4 linked regions of the Oryzias latipes genome follow. The protein of the gene in region 3 interacts with the protein of the main gene of each other region in a pairwise test. Links are inferred from orthologs where the notes say so. Each region holds a gene or a part of one and is shown on either strand. Other genes may lie near its edges. The genes, in order: BTB/POZ domain-containing protein KCTD5, psma3, dmc1 and nif3l1.

Region 1 (5,566 bases), about 120 kb from region 3:
GACCAAATGACCATAGCAACGGTTACCAAGGGCTTTCTTGACAACTTTAGACAATGACAGGACCAAATGACCATAGACACAGTTACCAAGGGATTTTCTGACAACTTTAGACAATGACGGGACCAAATGACCATAGCAACAGTTACCAAGGGCTTTCCTGACAACTTTAGACAATGACAGGACCAAATGACCATAGACACAGTTACCAAGGGATTTTCTGACAACTTTAGACAATGACGGGACCAAATGACCATAGCAACGGTTACCAAGGGCTTTCTTGACAACTTTAGACAATGACAGGACCAAATGACCATAGACACAGTTACCAAGGGATTTTCTGACAACTTTAGACAATGACAGGACCAAATGACCATAGACACAGTTACCAAGGGCTTTCCTGACAACTTTAGAGAATGACAGGACCAAATTACCATAGCAACGGTTACCAAGGGATTTTCTGACAACTTTAGACAATGACAGGACCAAATGACCATAGCAACGGTTACCAAGGGCTTTCCTGACAACTTTAGAGAATGACAGGACCAAATTACCATAGCAACGGTTACCAAGGGATTTTCTGACAACTTTAGACAATGACAGGACCAAATGACCATAGCAACGGTTACCAAGGGCTTTCCTGACAACTTTAGAGAATGACAGGACCAAATGACCATAGCAACAGTTACCAAGGGATTTTCTGACAACTTTAGACAATGACAGGACCAAATGACCATAGCAACGGTTACCAAGGGATTTTCTGACAACTTTAGACAATGACAGGACCAAATGACCATAGCAACGGTTACCAAGGGCTTTCCTGACAACTTTAGACAATGACAGGACCAAATGACCATAGCAACGGTTACCAAGGGCTTTCCTGACGACTTTAAAAAACTACAGGTCCAAACTACCATAGCAACGGTCACCAAGGACCTTCCTGTTGACAGCAGCGGATGATGTAGGGAAACAATAAGATCAGACAATAGCAAAGACCAATGAAACTTTGAAACTCATCTAGGTAGCAGAAGAAGAATTAAAACAGGCAGAAATATCACAGTCGGCACTGTCGGCTTACTGTGGGATTTCCTCCCACAGTCCAAAAGCATGCTTCATAGGTTAATTGGTGATTCTAAAATTGTCCCTGGGTGTGAATGAGATTGTGTGGCCCTGCAACAGACTGGCAACCCATCCAAGGTGTACCCTGCCTTTGCCCAGCAGTAGCTGGGATAGGCTCCAGCAACCCTGTAACCCCAACAGGGATTCAGCAGGTTTGGAAGATGGATGAATGGATGAATGGCCAATGGTGAAGCTGTACTACTAAAGTCTCCATAATTAAGATTTATTTTAATCACAACATTTGTCAAAATTAACAATATTAATTTGTTACAGCAATAAACACACTTCTACCAGCAACCCAAATCTGTGAAGCTTCATGCTCATATCAGCATATTATACACAGATGGATCTGAATGGTTCTTTATTTCTGCCCCACGTTTAAGGTGACGGACTACCAGATGGCTCTCCAACTGGCTGCTGAGGCTATAAACGGCCCCACCACGCAGGGCGGGCTGCGTCCGTTCGCATGGCGGTCCTTCAACCTCACCGCTCACCAGGGTCTCCCGCACACGTACAATTTTTCCTTTGTCGCCATGAGGCCCACACTGATCCAACCCTGAGAACGTAAACACGGCATACATGAAGGCGGAGGGTATTCTAAGAAAAGGATTCAAAGCAGTTTCACTGCATTTGTAAAAGAGAAAATGTAATTACTCCTGATGTAAGGCAGAAAGTTGTTTTATCTTTAGTTTTGTTATGACTTGGCTATTTTAGGCTACTCCTCTGTTTGAAACTCTACTTCCTGAATTGGACAAATTATCCAAAACTTTCCAGTTTTGACTGATGATTTCAGGGAAACGCTGATCATTTGTTTCCTCTATGCAACATTTACTCAGGATTGCAGATGTGGCGTTACAAACAATTTCACATTTATTTAAAACATATTTGATGTATACTCCTAGTCTGTCTTTAAACAAACTAGAAAATTAATATTTTTTGGAGGTTATTTTTTAAAGGGTGATGTTGAGACATTCAAGTATTTTTTTTTCTTCTGTATTTTAAAATGTTTAGACTAGTAAAAATCTGTTCAGTGTCAAATTGGGACTTTGTCTGAAGAAGAAAAAAAAGAATCAACAGAACAAAATCTGATGTCAAACTTTTTTCCCCGCCTGAATTCATTCATGAAATCAGAAATGGATTTGACAATGAATGAGTTTTGCCTCTTATTTTGAAAGGCGCAAACTCTTACTTTGAAAACCTGTTGGGGTTGAAGGCGGAGCCTGCTGGTGGGTTGAAGGAGGGAAAACACGCTCCTCATCAGCGGCGGAACGCACGCGCTCGTCCCTCCTCCCCGTAGGTTCGGCGGTTCGGTATTGATGGCAACGACCGCGAACGAGCAGCGGGAAGCGGCGGACGTGGCGGAACCGCAGCGCGGCTGCCCGCGGCTCAACAGCAACAACAACAATAACAACAACAACAAAGACAGCGAGGCGGGAGGAGAGAGCACGAGCTCCGCCGGCGCCAGCGCCACGGCCGAGTCCGGCGGGGCCGGGACGGCGCCGCACAACAACGGCTCCTCGGCGGGGAGCAACGGGAAGTGGGTCCGGCTGAACGTCGGCGGAACCGTGTTCCTCACGACGCGGCAGACGCTCCTGAAGGAGCAGACCTCCTTCCTGTACCGGCTGTGCCAGCAGCAGGACCTGCACTCGGACACGGTGAGCCAGCGGGAAAACAAACAAACAAACAAAAACCCTACTTCCGTTAGAAACACCTGGGTGACCTTCTGCTTGTCCTGAAGGCCACGCCTCCACTGATTTCTGAAGCCTAATTAGTCAATCACGTGACCAAAATCCCCTTTAAATCCATTGAATTATCCGTCATTTGTGCTTTTTCCTCTAAAAATTTAATAATAGTCCTTAAAGTCACAAAAATATTTGCTTTTATTGATGATATCTGATCAATTGTGATGTATTGAACTGTTGCCTTCAAAGACCGTCCGGTGTTTTGAGCCTCCCGCGGAGCATCACTTGGTGGTGGTGGTGGTGGTGGAGCGGCTGCCATCAGATGCGTGAGCACGTGCTGCCTCTGCAGCAGTGCTGCTCAGTGGGAAGCTGCAAAGCTGCCAGGCTTTGGGATGGAGCAGAGGGGAAGACTAAAGTGTCTGCCTGCAAGCGAACGCACCGCGGGGCCTGAAAACACTTATAAATGATGCAAATGTGTGTTTTTTTTAAAGTCATGTGGGTAACAGAGGGGAAGGTTATTCAAAACAAACAAACGAGTTGGTCTTTCATTTAAAGTGTACAAATCTTATTTTCTTTGGTGTTCTTTTTTTTTAAATATTTTAGACGCAAAAATGCTTTTATTCGTCCGGTGACATGAGAAACTAGTGATCAAATGAAGTCATTTGACCTTCAGTAAATCAATGAAGATCCCAAACCGGCAGCAACAGGACACTCTGGAGGTTCTCATGGGTGTAAAGCTGCTGCTGAGCGGCTGAATAATTAGATTTTCAGCTTGACTGCATCAGAGCGACTACAAGATTAGGTGTAGAATTAGATTTGATCTGTTTTGCCTTCTCAGTCAGTGAATGCATCACGCTGCACCAGGACGCGTTCAGGTTCCATGTGGAACATTTCCCGGAGTTTGTAGGCCGTCTGATGTAAATCATCTGTAGTTCCTGCTGGGGAGAGAAAGAGCAGCAAGCAGTTGACTCCACTGAGCGTGCTCAGTAGGAGGAGACTAACCCGACAAAGCTCGCTCACAGACACGTCCAATATGGCGCCTCGTTGTTGTAATTATCGCCAAACGGATCATTTGCTTGATCCAGTCAGGAAGTTTTATAATCCTTTAAAGCCAATTTTTGTGACATTTTCAGCTGCGATGCATTCAGGCCGTCAAAAAAAGTCGTAAAGTTATGGCAATAAAGTCATAATTTTACAAGAAAGAGCTAGAATCTCCTTTTTTGTGAAACCAGCTCTGAAGTAATCACTTACAATGGGTTCAACGACCTTTTCCTGTTGCTTAGATTTTTCTAAGTACACAGACGTTTGCCTCTGAAAGTTGTTACTTTAGTCTCTTAGATTCTCAACTTATGACTTATGTGATTATAACTTTATTATTGTGAAATATTGACTCTTTTACTCATAATTTTTTTTTTAATGATAATTCAACAATTCAACAAGATTATTCTTGTAAAATTACGACTTTCTTCTAATAATTTTTCAATATTATTTTCGTAAAATTATGACTTTTTCTCATAATTTTACATCTTTATTTGTGTAATTTTGCACGTTTAGTCTCTTAAAATGACAGCTTTATTCCTATGACTCCGTTGTCAAAAGCACAAATCCAGCTGGATGCTTCTGCTTATCTCCCTCCCGGTATTTAAAGTTAAATTAGCTGATGTTGGCGTTAAAACGGCTGGTTTTAAGTCATTTCCTGTGACCACAGTTACGGCGCCGCGGCCCGATGACAGGGATTTGGCCTTTAACCGAGTCACTGAAGCTGCTTCCTCTCCGTGGGACAGAAATATCTAACTTGTGTCGTCCACGACGGACGTCACGGTCAGGATGCGGTCGGTCTTCTTTCAGGGACGTCAGATCAGTCGCAGCAGAATTTCATTTTCCTGCTGAACTAGAGCACCACGGCAGGCCGGTTCTCCTCTGCTGTGCGGTCAGCCGTACGACCCGTTGGAGCCCAAACCTCCAGCCGTGCTCTCCTCTCCCTGGTTTATTTCTGCTGGCGTGTTCTGGAAGAGGCTCTGAACCCTCCAGTGACTGAGGCGGTTGCGTAGCAGCCTGAGTCAGTGTTTAGTGTTTGCGCAGAAAGACAAAGTGGACTAAATATAGAGGCACCAGAAAAAGAGCCGTTTCACGTTAGCATGAGAGCTTCAGCGCCGGTTCCCAAACATTCCTCCCAGTCTTTCCGTTCGGATCGTCCAGCTCGGTTCCACGTTCCTGATGACCCGTTGAAGTAAAGAACATGGTCAAACAAAAGCACGGCTTCACTGCCTGCCAGTGAAAGTGGGAAACTAGAGGGAACATGCTGTCTGTTCTTGCTTCTAGCTAAATGGGTCATATTGCACCATCAGCTGATGAGCAACATTTCTCCTCTAAAAACAGAGAGGCTGCTGGGATTTCCATGACTTAAAGAAAAGAGCAATTCGCTGAAGTTCTGCTAAAAGCTACAAATCTACTACTAAACTCACAAAGTCCTCTGACCGGACTAAACCATCGACTGTCTCTGAGAACCTGATCAAGGGGGGGTGATGGCACCCATTTACGTCCTGCTCCAATCAAAGGGAAATCAATTCAGTCGCCATTTAGGCGCGACACGGACGCCGCCATGTTGGAGCCAGGCGGCGTCAGTACACTGCAAAAAGGGAACCAAAGAACGTTTTTAAAAAAAAAAGACCCTCACGTCGAGATAAAATGACTTATTTTCTGTCTTGCAAGAAAAATAATCTCGAGAATTTTCTTTATCAAAAAAGAAAACTTTGAGGAAACTCGTC
Region 2 (5,639 bases), on a different chromosome or scaffold from region 3:
TCTTACCTGTGGACTCAATTCCAGTTAGGAGGTGCAGTGTGAGCCGCTGCAGAGCTCCGCCCACTTCCTGCAGGTTGCAGGATAATCTGACAGATGATTTTGTTGCAGCTGTTGAACGCTGGAGGTCAGAACAGAAAAGAATCCCAAAGTTGTTTTTTTCTTTCAATCTTTATTTAAAAATGTTTTCCAAAAAGGTTTCTGCTTTTATTTTGGTAAACTCCCCAAAGGAAGTTAAAAGTAGAATTTCTCATGTATTTAAGTTTGAGAATTTATCAATTTATAAACAGAAATTTGGTTCTTTTTATCAAGAGAAGCAGATTTACTGTCAAACTCCAGGACGCCATCTTTGAATTGGTCAGATTGGCGTTTCAGCTCCAGTTTTCCTTTCATTTGAACAGCAGCTCGGTGGTCTGAGAAGATCCACCTGGATCTTCATGCACTTAAGCTCCTCCCACAGCCGCTTCTGAAGCCGCCTCCTCCCTGGTTTCTGCTCTGCCTCCCAGACGTTCAGCTCCTCAAGCCGTTTGTTCTGTAAATAAAGCTCTGAGAAGAGACCACACGTCTACATTTTTCACACCGGCACAGAATGATTTCTAATATTTTCTAAGAGAAGACTGTTTGTACTGTAGTCCTATAAACTCCTCGGTTGTTTTTTTTTTCCTTGTGGTGTTTTTCCGGAAGCGATTCGAGAGCAAAACTTGTAAATAGAGAAACGCACAGAAGTGTGTGTGTGCACAATGAGCAGCTCTCAGTTTCTAATAAACTTTGTAACCACAGACTGTTGGAGCCTCATTCTAGAACCTCAAACTTTTTTCCAGGCAGAAGAAGTAAAGCAGCCGCTGAACATTTCCAGAATTTTATTTCCAAATGTGAAAACAAAGGAAGCGACGAACAATAAAAGACGAAGAGGAGACCGGAGGCAGCAGCAGCAGCTCTGGGCTCACATGTTGTCTTCATCAGAGTCGTCCTCTTCTTCCAACGAATCCTGCAGCAGAAAGATAGTCAGCTGACAACACCGCCCTCTGCAGGCGCCAACAGGAGCTACGGCGTTCTACACTCACCTTGGCGTATTTCTCTGCTTCCTCCTTGACGTCTTTAGGAACGAACTCGTGTCGTCCGTTTGTGACTGCGGAGGACAAGAAGCGGAGAATCAGCCGTCGCCGTGCCGACCACGGGCTTAGTCCCACAGCTCCCTTCCCATCATGCTCTGGGTCAGGCCAGCTAAAACGGCACAGGTTCTTTCTCACCTTCTCCAACCCAGCTGAGCTCCAACTCAAAGGCCTTGTCTTTCACTTCGTCGTGAACGATGTAGATTCTTTATAAAAAAAAAAAAAGGGAAATTTTAGTTTTTCAGCCTTCTTTGGTTCAGAGCTTCTTCATGAACAGAGTGAAACTCACATTTTAGCGACTTCTTTGACCAGCTCTCGACACGTCATGTCCTTCATCTGTCGGAGGAAACGGTCGGATATGTGAGAACGTCTCTGCTCGCAGAGTTCAACGTGTGAAATATTAGTCACAAAACAGCAGCTCCAGAACGTCAGAACTAAACCAGATTCATGAATCGTGTCTGAGCTCAGCAGAAACCCTTCGTGAAGGCCTGAGCTGCTGGTGGTCTCAGCAGTCGCCCGCTTTTACCAACCTTTCACAGTAAAACGCTCGCTGGTGTTCCTGCAGACTCACCTGCAGCTTTTCAATCTCCGTCTTGGCAGCTTGCTTTGCTTTCCCGATCGCACACCCCCAGTAACCCTGAAGACACAGAGGCTGGTTAGTCGGTCTCACCTGGAGTCACCTGAACGCACACGAACACACCCGACTCACGTAAGAGATACCAGACGGGTCGACCATGTAGAGCTGAGGACCGTCGTCTTTGTCATACGAACCCAAGATGAAGCTGAGAGGAGCAAACACGTGGGGGGGTTAGAGATCATAGACTACAAACACTTCTGCACTGTCCCTGAACGCACCACGGGTCTTTTTAAACGTGCTGAAGAACACCCACCTGCAGCCGAACGGCCTCACTGCGCTGTACAGCGTGTACGCATGCACATACATGGCCACTCTGTCAGATAGGTGCTGCAACAAAACATACACACCCTTAGCATCACCATGGAAACAGGCGTGACAACCTGACGGTAGGAAAACCAACCTTCAGAGGAATGTCGTGTCCGTAATTCGACCTGAAGTTGGAGGCTTCCTCTCTGGCTACTTCAGCGAGTGAGCGAGCATCAGCTAACAGGCCTGCTACCGCCTGGAGAGAGAGAGACAGACATCCATCAAGCACACCAGAAACTGTCACTCACAGAAGATCTTTCATTCATTTTTTAATGCATCACTTTAAAAACAGTTTAATAAACGGTCTCTGCCTGCAAGGAGGTTGTGAGAAAACAGGAGCAGCAGAAGAAAAAAAAACACCACAGATTCGGCGTGACGCTTTAAACCATCGCAGCTGAGAGAAACCGGGGACAAAAAAAAAAAAAAATCAGCTGTTACCATGCCAACGTGTCTGTCAATGTTGAAGATGCGTTTGTTGGACCCCTCCTCGTAAAGTTTGGACAAAATGAGCTTCTCCACCCCAAACACGACTCCATCTTTGCAGCGGATCCCGATAGCTGTGCTGGAAGTTACACAAACACACACACAGGTTACACACAGACACACAAACTGAGATGAGAGGCGTGGAAGGAGAAGGAGGACGGAACTGACCTGCTGTTCTCCACCGCCTTAATGGCGTACTCCACCTGGAAGACCCGACCATCAGGGGAGAAAGTGGAGGCAGACAGGTCATACTGCAAGACACACAAACACACAACATCAGCATTATACGCAAAATAGGAGAACAAACAGAAGTCCACTAATCCAGGACAACACCCAGACCTCGAGGGGGGGACGTGTAGCCTTGATTTGCTGTAATCAACCAAACCATAAATCAAATATAACCAGAACAAAAATATATATTCACTTTTTTTATGTCTGATTTTAAAGAAATTCTACAAAAATGAGTGTAAAGCCTTCATTATTGACCAACCAGGTGTTGTGACGTACCGATTAAAAACAATTATAGACCATCAGTAATCAATTTATTATTAATTTAAATAATATAATATATAATTTAAAAATAAAAAAACATTTTTAGTTCTGTAAATATGCTGCATGTTTCTACACATCTAGAGTAAAAAAAAAATCTTGACCACAACAACTTTTTTAGATTCAGTTTAGGGTCTCATCCGGTGATAGAAGTGACTCCGCATCAGTTTTTCTGCATTCACGGTGGAGGGGATCAGTGCTGGGTTGGACCGAGCGACTGAACCTGGTTTCAGCAGGTCAAACAAGGTCACTGGATCCATTCTCATCCATCACATCCACAGCTTATCGTTTTTATTTCAGGTGTTTTCCTCTCCACAGTTTTGAGCTCAAAACATAAATCACACAGAAAATTCATCCGTTCCTCTTTACATGCAATTTTATAATATATTTAGGATTGTTTTAATGATCAGGACTGAACTGAACCATTAAAAAAAAAGTCAGGATAATATATGAAAAGAATGGAAATATAACAAAAGTAATTCAATATAATTGATTTTAGGCTTCCAGTGTAGCGCTTTTAGACAACCTTGATTGATAGATTTTTTTTATGTTTTAACACTAACAGGAGCTTAAAAAAAATGTAGTTTTATTATAGAGACTCGTCTAAGCAAAAAAAAAAGTCAATTTGACCTAACATTAGACCAGAAACAAATCGCTTCAAACTGACAGATCTACCAAACAACGCGATTTTGATTTCCACATTTTCACCAGTTCTGTTAGCTAGCTCAGCTGCTAGCATCACTCCACGTAGAAGAAAAAAACAAACAAGCAAAGATAAAGAGGCCAAACAATCCCGGAGAATTCTCTCGAACAGTCTTCAAATCTTACTGATTTCAAGTATCTAAAACAAACAATAAATTTTTTTAAACACAGGTTTTACTTTCACTTCGTCTGTTAGCAGCCGCTCTGTGACTCAGCAGCAGGCTAACAGGCTAGCTTCATGCTGCTGTGTTCCCACGCTCCTGGTAATGTGACCGGCCTATTCCCCCCTCAAACCGATATGGACTCAAACTCACAACATTTAGCACTTTTATCACAAACGTACTGGATTAAAAGAGGCAATAAAAGACTCACCCCGGTTCCGATGGAACTCATTTTCACACAAACTTAAAGAAGCTTCAGCCCGTGTTTCCGGTGACGCTCGATCACTTCCGCCGGTCGCCTTCACAATAAAACGCTTTCCTTCAGCACATTACCCACGAAGAGCTTTTTAATCACAACTTGCCTTTAAAAAACACAGTAAAGTCCCCAATTTGTTTTTTTTTTTACTTGTATTTTTTTAATAAGCACAATTAAATTCTGATTAGAAAAATAATATCTTTTAGCTGTAAAAAGTATTGTACCTCCCAGTTATTTTTGTCAAGTTCTGGGTTCTTGACTTCATCATATTTTTTATTTATTTGCTTGAAATAGAACATGTGAAAATAACTAAAATAATAATGTTTACTTTATTTTTGTCGTAGTTTCCATTTTATAGCTTTCAAGTTTTTGAACTAACTTTAAAAATTCTATTCTGTTTTCTTCTCATAATAAATTACACCTTAAAAATGACAGTGAAATCCCTGAAAAACATTCAGATTGAAAAATATGCAAATAAACGTCTGCACTTGTTTATAATACTTACAATAAAATACTTACTTTATTCAGTTTAACTCCTTTAATGTACTTATATTTTACTGAAACAATACTTGAACCATTTTTGACTGCACTGCATTAATGTATTCACCTAAAACCTAATTCCAGTCTTCTGAGGAGAGTCCGGGTGTCACTGCAACAGGTATGTTGGAGGTCATGCAGCTCTTTGTTATAAAAAACCCTGAACAGAACATGGTTTTCTGCAGGTCCCTTTCAAAATAAAACTTGACCAGATGCTCCTGTGAACACTGAAGCACCAGTGAATATTTTTCTATGCTACAGAGACCTCGCAGGACCTTCAGGTGTACCTGTACCCCCCTCCCCATCAGGCAGAAGACAGTAAGAGGTTCACACACAGAACTTGTAAGAAAAGTGTCCATAAAGACTTTATTGAGCGTGAGAGAGAGAGCCGTGTGGATTACAGACCTGCTGAAGTTCAACCAAACAACCAGTGAGTTTATTCCTCACATCTCCATCTGGATCCGAAAGCTTTGGTCACATCAGAGTGAAGAACATTCATTTACAGTGCTGTTAAAAAACAGGAACTGAACATGTGATTCATTTTTTTTTCTGTTCTTACAGGAAATCAAAGTGTGACTGACGTTAAGGCAACAAGACTGAAGCTCCACCGCCGAGAAGATAAAGAAGAAGCTTGTCAGACCAGAAGAACCGAGCCACACGGATGATGAGCGTCTGTTAGTTCATAAAAACATATACAAGGACTTTATTATTACACTTTGATAATGGGGGTAGAGGAGGGGGGCCGGACTCCAGGAGGAGCAGCAGAAACAGAACGAGCCGCCATTTCCAACACATCAAGATGTTCGGCCTCCTCAGAGTCCGGACGTTCTCCTCAGGACAGCTTCCTGTCCAGTTGAACCCTCAGAACCCGCCCAGAAGCTTCCAGTTTGATGCTTTCC
Region 3 (4,555 bases):
TTTTCTTTATAAGCGACGCATCACTTCCAAACGCTGGCGCACAGCAGCAGCAAATGGCTCAAATGCGTGGGGATGGGGTTCAGGGTCGGGGCCAACACAGCAATCAGCGCCAGGGGGTAGAGGCACGTTTTTAAGCTATGCCACATTGTGTAGCACAGCACATGCCAGCACGATTTGGCACACACTGTCACTTTCACGTATTTCTTCCATCTGCCGACGGTGTCGCCATTTCTCATTTCACCCGTTTTTGTGCGTACGCCTGGGTCAGAGCTTGCGTGGAGGACCGCACATTTTCCCGTCAAGTTTGCTTTTTATAAATCTCAACTATTGCGTAGAGAGTGGCGTACGCCTTCTTTTGTGCGTACGCAACGTTTATAAATGAGGCCCCAGGTTTCTAGTATAAGTTTGATATTTTTTAGGATTTTTTTGTTCTCAAATTTCAAAATTTCCCGTTTTCAGGAACCTCCTATGTTTTTATTTTTTATTTTGCCACAGTTGAAAAGAAAAGAAAACCACTCTGAGTGATCATGTGTTGTCGTGTTTTGATCTATTTTTTAGCACAAGTGCTTTTTGTTGGGTTCATTATATCGGGTAAAAATGACCCGGCAAAAAAGGGCTGGTGTAACTTTTTATAGCCAAAGTGTTCTATGGAAAATGAAAAAAAAAACAACAATGTAAAATTGCAAAAAGCAATAAAATAATGCCAAAGTCCCATAAAGCTGATTCTGATTCCCATGATGTGTTATGTTCCCTCTGCAGTAAACTTTTGGGTGGAGGCGTTGAGAGCATGGCTATTACAGAAGCTTTCGGAGGTGAGGAGACCCCCGCCTTTCTGTTTATTAATCCAAAAGTTTCCCAACAGATTATTACATGTTTAATCTATAAAAAATGAATATTGTCTTTGTTTGTCAGAGTTCCGCACAGGAAAAACCCAGCTGTCTCACACGCTTTGTGGTGAGTAAAACAGTTTCAAGCATCTTTTTTTGCACATGACATGAACATTTCTGTTTCTGCGTGAAGTCACTGCACAGCTGCCAGGGGAGAACGGCTACTCCGGAGGAAAAGTCATCTTCATCGACACAGAGAACACGTTGTATCCTTACGGCTAAAGCAACTTTATGCATGAAGTGACGCTGGTCCTGAACTCCTATCTGTGTTTTGGTGATGTTCTTGACCTGCCGTGTTTCAGTCGCCCAGACAGGCTGAGAGACATCGCCGACAGGTTCAACGTGGACCACGGTGCGGTTCTGGACAACGTGCTTTATGCTCGAGCTTATACCAGTGCGCCAGCCACACCATGGAATCAACGCACGTTCTTATGATGCAAATGAACGCTGGTCCCCGTGACGCTGTTTCTCCGCAGGCGAACACCAGATGGAGCTGCTGGACTTTGTAGCCGCCAAGTTTCATGAAGAGGGAGGCGTGTTCAAGCTGCTGGTGAGGAGACCTTCACTCCTGGACCTCCGCCGTGACCCCTGCGATCGGGGCAGAGGCTGACTCTGCTCTCCTTCAGATTATTGACTCCATCATGGCGCTGTTCAGAGTGGACTTCTCTGGCCGGGGGGAGCTGGCCGAGCGGCAGCAGAAACTGGCCCAGATGCTGTCCCGGCTGCAGAAAATCTCTGAGGGTGAGAAGCAGATCTGCGTTTGCTGAAGTGTCTCAGGGGTTAAGAGCACAGAAACGTTTTCAGTTGTTCATGAAGCTCCTTATGGTGAAGAAACGACACGGGGAGGAGCCAAACCTCAAACCGTAAAGGCACGCGAAGAATGAACAGAAATACGGAGCCCTCCAGGTGACCGTGGTTAAAAAGAAAAGAAATTCGGATAAGCGTGCGCACGCAAAGCCGACTACACTGACAAGAATTTGATATTAAGTCACCAAAAGGTTCAGAACTTCCTGGTTTTTGAAACCTATCCGGAAATAAGGCTTCACAAAATGCTCCACATCTTTTATCTTCAAACAAAGGGCCAATAAACAGACAACTTTGGTGGTTTTTCGTATTAATTTATGACTTTTTTGTTTCTTAAATTCACAAGGTTTTTTCTAGTAAAGGTATGAGATTTATTCTTGTAAATTTATAAGAATGTTTTTCGCGTAAATTTGCTAGTTTTTTCTAGTAAATCTATTAGATTTTTTACTCATAAATGTATGAGTTTTTTTCTACTAAATTTACAAGATCTTTTCTTGTAAATTTATATGATTTTCTTCTCTTGTAAATTTATGACTTAAAATCTTGTAATAAAAATTATAATAATTGTAAACTGGCCCTAAAACTCTGTTGTACTAATGAGATAGGGGTCACAGAAATGCAAAGATGGGTTAAAGTCCTGTCCTTTAACCCTTGTGCTATCCTAGGCACTTTAACATTGGGAGTTGGGTCATCTAGACCCACTAGACAGTGCTCTGAACCTTTTTTCTTCAATGATTTGTGATCTTCACTGGTGTCACTGGATTACATGAAATCTTTCCACCTTTATCCACCTTTGTCATGGTAGGGAGAACACATCAATGGAAGGGTGGGGTCATCTAAGATAGCACAAGGGTTAAAATCCTGTAGAAAAGCAAGATGATCAAGAGGAGAAAGTGTTCAGGCAGAGTAAGCAGCTGTTTGTGTTTCTAGAGTACAACGTGGCTGTGTTTGTTACCAACCAGATGACGGCAGATCCTGGAGCAGGGATGACGTAAGGATCACAAAAACCCTCATTCATCAGAAAAGGATGTTTGTTTGTTTTTTCATTTCTGACTCAGAAATGTGCTTTTATGTATCCCCCCCCCTGTTTTAGATTTCAAGCTGATCCCAAGAAGCCCATCGGGGGGCACATCCTGGCCCACGCCTCCACCACCCGCATCAGCCTGAGGAAAGGAAGAGGAGAGATGAGAATCGCTAAAATATTCGACAGGTTGTAAGCCTTTGATATTGATAATCATCACAGCTCCTAAATGAACCGGACTTACTGGACCGTTTGTCTGCAGCCCCGTCATGCCTGAAAACGAGGCGACCTTTGCCATTTCTGCTGGAGGAGTGACTGACGCCAAAGAGTGACGAAAAACGGAGGACAGACGTGTTCACGGCCGCCTGTTGGCTTACAGCTGCGGTATCGTTTCTGTTTAGTATTTATATGACAGCTTGTTGTGTTCCAGATGCACTGAATTCAACAAAAAAAGTAATTTATTGAAGTTCAATTGGGCAGAATGTCTGGTTTATTTCAAAATAAGTCACAAAAGATCGGATTGAAAAGTGAAGTTTTCCTTTCCTTAACTTATGTTACACTGGAAATAGTCATTTCTCCCTGTTTATTGATAGAAATATGAATAAATCATTTCAGCAAAAATCTACTTCTTGTGCAAATGCAATACTTTTCAGAACCAATAGAGTTTAGTAAATTAATTTGGACCTAAGCACAGAATAGGAAAAGAAAGCAAACTCATCACCAGGTTAAGTCTACAACCACAGCTGTAGATTTGTTGACCTTTGACCTCAGGAAGAGGCCGCCATCTGGAATTTTCATAAGAAATCACCTTCTACAAACTCCTTCTATGGATTAGAATCTATTACCTCCTAATTCCCCAAGCATCATTGGGACGCTGGGGCGAAAATAAATGTTGGGGAAAGAAAAGGTTTATAGGTTTTGAATGACGTTACCGTGGCGACCTCGCAAGAATGGCGTTCCTTTCTTGCTCTCACATTTTCTATCAGAATGTTATGAAAATGTAATACACGAATCTCTGCGTCGAGCCGATTTGAAACGATATAACACACGATATGAATGTATCCAAAATGTGGGCGTGGTTAACAAAAAACTTCTGTTGCCAAGGAAACCTAAAAATTTACTTTTGCCGATTCTTCCAAAAATTACACCGGCTTGTTCGTCGCCCCCAGGCGACCAAAAGACAAAATGGTTGCTATGGAGATACAACCAACAGAAAGGCTGCCATTTCGAAAAAAGAATTTGTCACGTCCAGCTCTTACCAGGGTGGCAGAGGCAGAAGGGGAGGCTAAGGGGCATCTAACGGCCAGCGAGGGCGACTCAAAAAGGGGCAAAGAGGGTGGTTCCCCTCTGAACTTATCATAGTTTAAATAAACAGAGCCAGAGTTTTATTGTTTCAAAGCTTTACATTAAAAGAAAGATTGTAAGCTTACAGGGTACGTTTATTACTATTAATGAATATTTTAAAGGGGGCACATAATTGAACCGTTTTTTAATAAATTACTATTTTAAAGTGAACCCGTTGGAGTGCAAAACACACAGAAACGTATGTAATATGAACTTGTATGACTTAAAAACATGTTCAAAACTATCATAAGGATTCAAGGGGTTTTTATTACCATTGTCAGTGAACAAAACAGTTTCAGACTAGGAATTTGCTGCGGTACCAATGCTTAACCCCCTAAGCAAAATAAAAAATAACACAATGGTCAGAACAATAAATAGAGATAAATAGTGCCAACAGAGGATAAAGAAGGTGCAGGTAATAAGTAGAGTAGAATGTATTTATTTCTAGAGCACTTTTCACAGAAAGAATCACAAGGTGCATCTCAAGAAGACAGCATAA
Region 4 (5,716 bases), about 5.3 Mb from region 3:
TTTCTTTAAAAAAAATAAACATAAAAACATGGGGAAAGGTTTTTTGTGTATTTGTGTATTTGGTGCTGTGCAAAAATCTGCGCTAACAGTGTTGGGAGTCCTTAAATCCATGTTTGTTTACCTAACGTTTGCCCCCATCCCAGGGCTAATCGCAGATGACTCAACACCAGGTGGGACTTCATCCTCTGGACGGCTTCAGCCACAGTCACTGGCTGCTCCAAAACGCTGAGTCGGCCTTGGCCGTGGCCCGGCAGAGGCGGCTGCAAGTGTGAAGCAGGTACAGAGCTGCCAGGTTACCGGGGCATCACAAAAGGACACTGTTATTGGAGTCTTAAAAAGTACTGACTTGGTCTTTTTTTGTGTTTCTGCTGTACCTTCTCTAACTTCAGGATGCTGAGGGACTGACTGGAGCAGCTGTGCTGCAGCAGAGTTTGAACGCTGGGAGTCAGTGCTGAGTCGCTGCATAATACGCTGGCGTGGATCCCACTGCTGTCTGCTCTGGTTTGAGAGAAGTAATAACCGAGACAAACAACTTATTAACATCTGATGATGCTAGTATTATTTTCACATTAGTATAAAAACAACCCGGCATAATCAGAGCGAATCCACCATCAAACCAATTTTTTTTTTTTAGTACAGCCATAGCTCATTTCTACGACGGAGTATTAGGGCCACCAAAAAAAAAAAATTAGAGCCACCAAAAAAAAAAAAAAAAGTAAAATTACGAGATTTTATCTCGTAAATTTAGGAGATAAAAACTCGTAAATTTAGGAGATAATAACTCGTAAATTTAGGAGAAAAAAATTCGTAATTTTAGGAGATTACAGTGGAAGTGAACATGCAGAGCAGCAGGTGAACGCCGTGCAGCCGCAGAGAAGACCGACTAAACTTTGTTGAACAGGTGAGCTGTATGTTTATTGATAACGTTCCAAATGTCTGGAAAGTCATTTGTTCGATTAACGATTCATTAAAGTTGTATTTATTGATGGTTGGTTTGCAGGATCTCTGCAGCCCGACGAAGCCGTTGTCGGTGTCCCTGCAGCTGTTCGCTTGAATCCTTTCTTCCTCCACCAAAGACAAGACTCTACGTCTGTGTGACGCTTCCGTCACACAAAAGGAGGAGCACTTTTTTTTTTTGGCATTTTCAACGTTCCAAAGCTAATATAAAACACTATTTTCATTCCTCTTTATTGTTTTATGCTGAAACGGGACATTTCATCTGCAGGAGGGGGCGTTTGTAAGACTGTTTACTTCCGCATTGGTGTTGGGATGACAGGTTCATGACGTAATGAGACAAATGAACTTCAGGATATGTGAATGGAAAGGAAAATAAAGGCTGCAGCGGTCCTCTACACCCAAACGTGTCTCTGAGCTCCTTATTTTACCTATGAAACTCCGCTTTACTGACACTGAACCCCGGAAAGACTACTACACGGAAACTAATCTGATTTTGAGTCGCCAAAAGGTTCAGAATCTCTTTGTTTTAAACCTATAATAATCCGGAAATGAAGCTTCACAAAAGGCTCCACATACTTCATCTTCAAGCTAGGTTCCGATAAACGGACAACTTCGGTGTTTTTTCCTTAATCTACGACTTTTTTCTCGTAAATTTATGAGATTTTAAGTCGTAAATTTATGAGATAAAAAGTCGTAAATTTACGAGTTTTTATCTCCTAAATTTACGAGATAAAATCTCGTAATTTTACTTTTTTTTTTTTTTTGGTGGCTCTAATTTTTTTTTTTTTGTGGCCCTAATACTCCGTCGTACATTTCTGAATATATTCCCCAAAAATCTCAAACAACCTGGTTCCTGTAGAGATTAAGGATGTTCCTCCATCACAGGCCTTAAGCTCCTTCATCACTGTGTTTAGTTCCTCTGTGCTTCTCACTGTGAACTCGAGTTTATGACAGTGGGAGGCGTTACCAAGAGCCTGACTCAGCACAGACACTTGGCCGCTGCCTGAAATTCAAAGAACAACCCAGAAAAAAGCAGATTACAGGTTCACATGCAGCCACAGCAAGCCTAATGCAATTTCCTGCCAGAAGAGCTCCTTACCAAGGCCTGCAACCAGCCAGTCATTTACCCCTCCTTTAACACTGTCCCATGAAGTGTGAGGGGAGAAGACCGCAATCCCAGCCTCTACCGCCCGGATGGCCAATCGCTGCTTCCAATCTTTCTGGTTCAGTCGCTTAACAGGACGGAACAACGGCGGGTGATAGGAAATAATGAGGTCACAGCTCAAAGCCTCTGCTTCCGCCATGACTGCATCTGTGAGGTCGTTGGTCAGCAGGATGGTTTTGACCGGCCGAGGTTTGCTAGGCTCGACCAGCAAGCCGACGTTATCCCATGACTCAGCAAGAGACAGAGGAGCGAGCTGCTCCAGAACCTGCAAAGTTTCCTTTAACTCCATGGGGCCAGTAAAGTGGGAGCAGTGAGGAGGCTGGAAGGCGGAGGAGAAAGGAGGATGCAGAAAGGATGAGCTGTTGATGATTCGCTGTTGAGGAGACGAGGAGACAGAGGGAAGAGAAAATGATGCTGCTGAGGCAGAGAAGTGGAGTTCACTTTTAGGCTTGAACCTTTTACACATCCAAGTTCTTCTATGTACAAGTGATGCAAAGATCAGAAAGAGATTCCTGCATCCAGTCAACATGAGTGGACCATCTGCATAAAACAAAAAAGAACACAAAAGTGGGCACTGGGTGCTATTTTTTCCCTTTCGAAAACATATCATTAAAATTCAAGTTCCCCAATTACAAAAACGAACAATCACTGCTAACTTTAAATACATTTTTCTCAAATATCTTCAGGTTTCATGTATTTAGTTATTATAATATCACCTATAATAGCCCTTAAATGCCTTCAAAGAAGAGGCTGTAATATACTTATTTATTCCTAAAAGCAACAGCTTTTTTTGCTCGGTCGAGCCGAGCAAACTTTCATTCGTTTTTATGCATATATACTTTGCTCCAAAAATTTAAGTCTGCATATAAGACTTTTTTAAAGGCCATATTTACCCTCTGAAGAAAAACTTAATGTGACTTTATTTCCAGTTTTTTTTCCTGACCACAATATTAATTTTTTAAGATATTTCATTGGAGATTTTGGACTACTTCACCACGTAAAGTCGTGGAAGATTATAAAACTAGGTCTGATCCACCAATTTTGCTGAATTTAAGTAAAAGCAAATTTGGATAATTATTCTAATCCATCTAATCCATCAAATAATAATTAATGATTTTGATAGAAACATAATATACACACACGTATGTTTAAATAAAAAGATCTACTACCTGCACACGATTTTTATATGACCAACACAAGCACAACAATGAGTGACACACATGCGGCTAAGCACAACTACCTACCCCTAGCTAAGCTAGCAGATTAGCTGCGCTACTAGTGTCTTGTAAATGTTGATAGAAAATCACCCATTTTATCAAAATTCAGTGTTGCTATGATGAGGTAAAAGCCGTTTCAGAGCATTGGCAAATGTAACGATCTTGTCATACGTTCAGGAAGATATCAGAAACTTTGTGAGCTAGCATGAACCTCTGCGACTGTCAGTCAGAACTTTCTGCACAACCCTATAAATGTCCCTTTCGAGCTTCCGTTGTGTATATCGACAAAAAACGGGACATAAATAAATAGGCGTGGCTTCTGTCACATTATATTACGATACAATGTTTTAAAGATACATTATAATGCCAACATTATGACATTTTATTTTATTTTATTTAACTTTAAATTTTGAGCATTTATTTTGTTTAGGATATTAGTTAAGATTCATTGTCTAATTTTGAAAAAGTTCTCGGAAGGAAAAGTCGCTTTTAAAAGATTTGATTATAAATATGGTGAAATCTTTGGTTAATTTTGTGGCAACTGACTCTTATAAGGTTACCTCAGTTTTAGCATAGTTCCTTTAATGTCATGCAGAAAATCATTTCTGGAATTTTTCCAAACAAGTTGAATTCTTTTAACCACATTTTTAAGCTATGCTCCTTTCACAGGAAAAATAAAGTTCTTTAAGCATTTATTAATTTTCCTGTCCTTATGTTCAAAAAATTTGTTCACAAATACGTTACCAAAAAAAACCTTTTTGACCTGCAAATATTTACAGAGCTGTAAGCACAACGTTGAAACTATTGGTCAGTAGGCTAAAAGTGCAGAAGCTGCCTTACTCTGTCAGTGAGTAGTTCTTTATTAGTGATAAAAACAGTTTAATTCTCTTTAGACTGAAATTCTCTGACTGTGGACATTGCATTCTAAAAATGAAAGCTTATTTGAACAAACAGCTACTGACAATATGTCAGAGACGTTAAATGGAAACCAAGAGGGCATTAGCTTTAAAAGGTGCGTTTAATCAGCCATCCTAATAAATCCTTTTGGTGTTGCATAATAGAGCTCAAATGTAATGTTATGAAACAAAATTACTGATTACTGTCAACAGGAAAAGGCTAGATGACTCTGATAAGCTGTATTAATTCGAGTGGGCAGGTGGTCCAGAAGATACCCAGGGATCCACTTGCCTTTTCTCAGAAAGATTACCGACCACATAGTAACACGCAGATGAAATCTGTCTGCAGCTGGTGGTCGTGAAGGGGTTAAACATGCATTTTTGGCACGACAGCAAGCTTCTGGACAGAATGGCTTCTTTTGGATTAAGTCAGAGAGTGACCAAGAGAGAGATATTGGGGATTAATGCATTAAAGGTCGATGCTAGATGTTAGGAAGGGGGATCAGGGAAGGATCAGCGCAAAGGCCAGCCAGAGTGTATTACATCATCTGAGTCTTCCTTTGGCCTCATCTTTCTGTCCGTGCATGACATCTATCAGAATAACAAGGTCCTGCTCTTCCAGCAATCACACAATTTACATTGTCAGGACAGTAAAAGCATTGAAAAATCTGAGGTGTTGAGTTTTTGGAACAGAAACAAAGACTTAAAAAACACTTGAAACAAAAAAGTATGCTGTTATTTGGAGTTACCGTATACATTGCTTTGTTCTCAGTTGTTTGGTTTAGCATATTGGCTTTTTTTAATTGGCGCTATAAGCCTCTGTTGCCCCATCTGGCTGTCTGAGCCCCTTTTTCCATACAACATCTGTCTGTGCGCTGTGTCCAGAGTGCACAGTGTTCCTGTCCGCACTCCAAAAGTCTAAGTAGGCCTTTCATTTCCGCTGACTTTTAATCCATTTGGCACCATAGAAATAACAACAACAAAAAAAAACTCAGGGTAAAAGAGTTTAACAATTTCTGTGGATGTATTTTACTTATTTTATTGTCTCTAAATCAAAAGCTCTGTAGCTTTTTGTGGATAAATCTGTTATGTAAAATTCTCCTTCTTAGTATTTTGAGTTCTTTGTTCTATTTTCGTTCCTTTCTCCAAATGACCTTCAAAAAACAAGCTTATTCAGTCGACATTTGGCTTACAGAGGAGCATCTCTAATGTCCTTTGGTTTACAAATCCCTTCAGTGGGACATTATCCTTAGTAAAATCTATCAATTTATGGAACAAGCTTTGACTTCTCTTGATTACTTTGGGCTGAATGTGAAGACCTGGTTCACTAAAGGTATACTATTAATACGTAACACAGCAGAAAACTGTATTTATTCTTCTTCTTTTCCTTTCTTCTCTTCCCTGCAGGAGTCGTCACAGCAAATCCGCTTCCTCCATCTAACCCTGTCTTCTGGATCCTCTACTCTCTTCCTGTTGTCATT

What was found.
Region 1: the proteins of dmc1 (region 3) and BTB/POZ domain-containing protein KCTD5 interact in binary tests that used the Homo sapiens proteins (3 or more experiments, as listed by UniProt). The two-hybrid records come from large-scale screens. The link is inferred for Oryzias latipes from reciprocal best matches to the Homo sapiens genes DMC1 and KCTD17.
Region 2: the proteins of dmc1 (region 3) and psma3 interact in binary tests that used the Homo sapiens proteins (3 or more experiments, as listed by UniProt). The two-hybrid records come from large-scale screens. The link is inferred for Oryzias latipes from reciprocal best matches to the Homo sapiens genes DMC1 and PSMA3.
Region 4: the proteins of dmc1 (region 3) and nif3l1 interact in binary tests that used the Homo sapiens proteins (3 or more experiments, as listed by UniProt). The two-hybrid records come from large-scale screens. The link is inferred for Oryzias latipes from reciprocal best matches to the Homo sapiens genes DMC1 and NIF3L1.

The regions. Positions count from the first base shown.
Region 1 is NC_019877.2:2,302,117-2,307,682, reverse strand, and holds the start of BTB/POZ domain-containing protein KCTD5, read left to right. Parts: upstream 1-2,152; 5' UTR 2,153-2,432; coding exon 2,433-2,771; intron 2,772-5,566. Other genes in the region: phospholipase B-like 1, read left to right, coding at 1,500-1,676. UniProt on the Homo sapiens protein: Substrate-adapter for CUL3-RING ubiquitin ligase complexes which mediates the ubiquitination and subsequent proteasomal degradation of TCHP, a protein involved in ciliogenesis down-regulation.
Region 2 is NC_019880.2:2,485,492-2,491,130, forward strand, and holds psma3 (proteasome subunit alpha type-3), read right to left. Parts: upstream 4,264-5,639; 5' UTR 4,180-4,263; coding exon 4,159-4,179; intron 2,787-4,158; coding exon 2,704-2,786; intron 2,615-2,703; coding exon 2,491-2,614; intron 2,249-2,490; coding exon 2,147-2,248; intron 2,074-2,146; coding exon 2,000-2,073; intron 1,892-1,999; coding exon 1,819-1,891; intron 1,747-1,818; coding exon 1,681-1,746; intron 1,446-1,680; coding exon 1,399-1,445; intron 1,316-1,398; coding exon 1,248-1,315; intron 1,127-1,247; coding exon 1,062-1,126; intron 986-1,061; coding exon 941-985; 3' UTR 843-940; downstream 1-842. UniProt on the Homo sapiens protein: Component of the 20S core proteasome complex involved in the proteolytic degradation of most intracellular proteins. This complex plays numerous essential roles within the cell by associating with different regulatory particles.
Region 3 is NC_019877.2:2,423,136-2,427,690, forward strand, and holds the end of dmc1 (meiotic recombination protein DMC1/LIM15 homolog), read left to right. Parts: intron 1-759; coding exon 760-812; intron 813-912; coding exon 913-954; intron 955-1,020; coding exon 1,021-1,093; intron 1,094-1,189; coding exon 1,190-1,281; intron 1,282-1,363; coding exon 1,364-1,437; intron 1,438-1,513; coding exon 1,514-1,628; intron 1,629-2,621; coding exon 2,622-2,682; intron 2,683-2,784; coding exon 2,785-2,901; intron 2,902-2,974; coding exon 2,975-3,044; 3' UTR 3,045-3,336; downstream 3,337-4,555. UniProt on the Homo sapiens protein: Participates in meiotic recombination, specifically in homologous strand assimilation, which is required for the resolution of meiotic double-strand breaks.
Region 4 is NC_019877.2:7,709,049-7,714,764, reverse strand, and holds the start of nif3l1 (NIF3-like protein 1), read right to left. Parts: upstream 3,618-5,716; 5' UTR 3,547-3,617; coding exon of another isoform or gene 3,511-3,546; intron 2,663-3,510; 5' UTR 2,652-2,662; coding exon 2,057-2,651; intron 1,961-2,056; coding exon 1,804-1,960; intron 499-1,803; coding exon 375-498; intron 286-374; exon of another isoform or gene 261-285; coding exon 122-260; intron 1-121. UniProt on the Homo sapiens protein: May function as a transcriptional corepressor through its interaction with COPS2, negatively regulating the expression of genes involved in neuronal differentiation.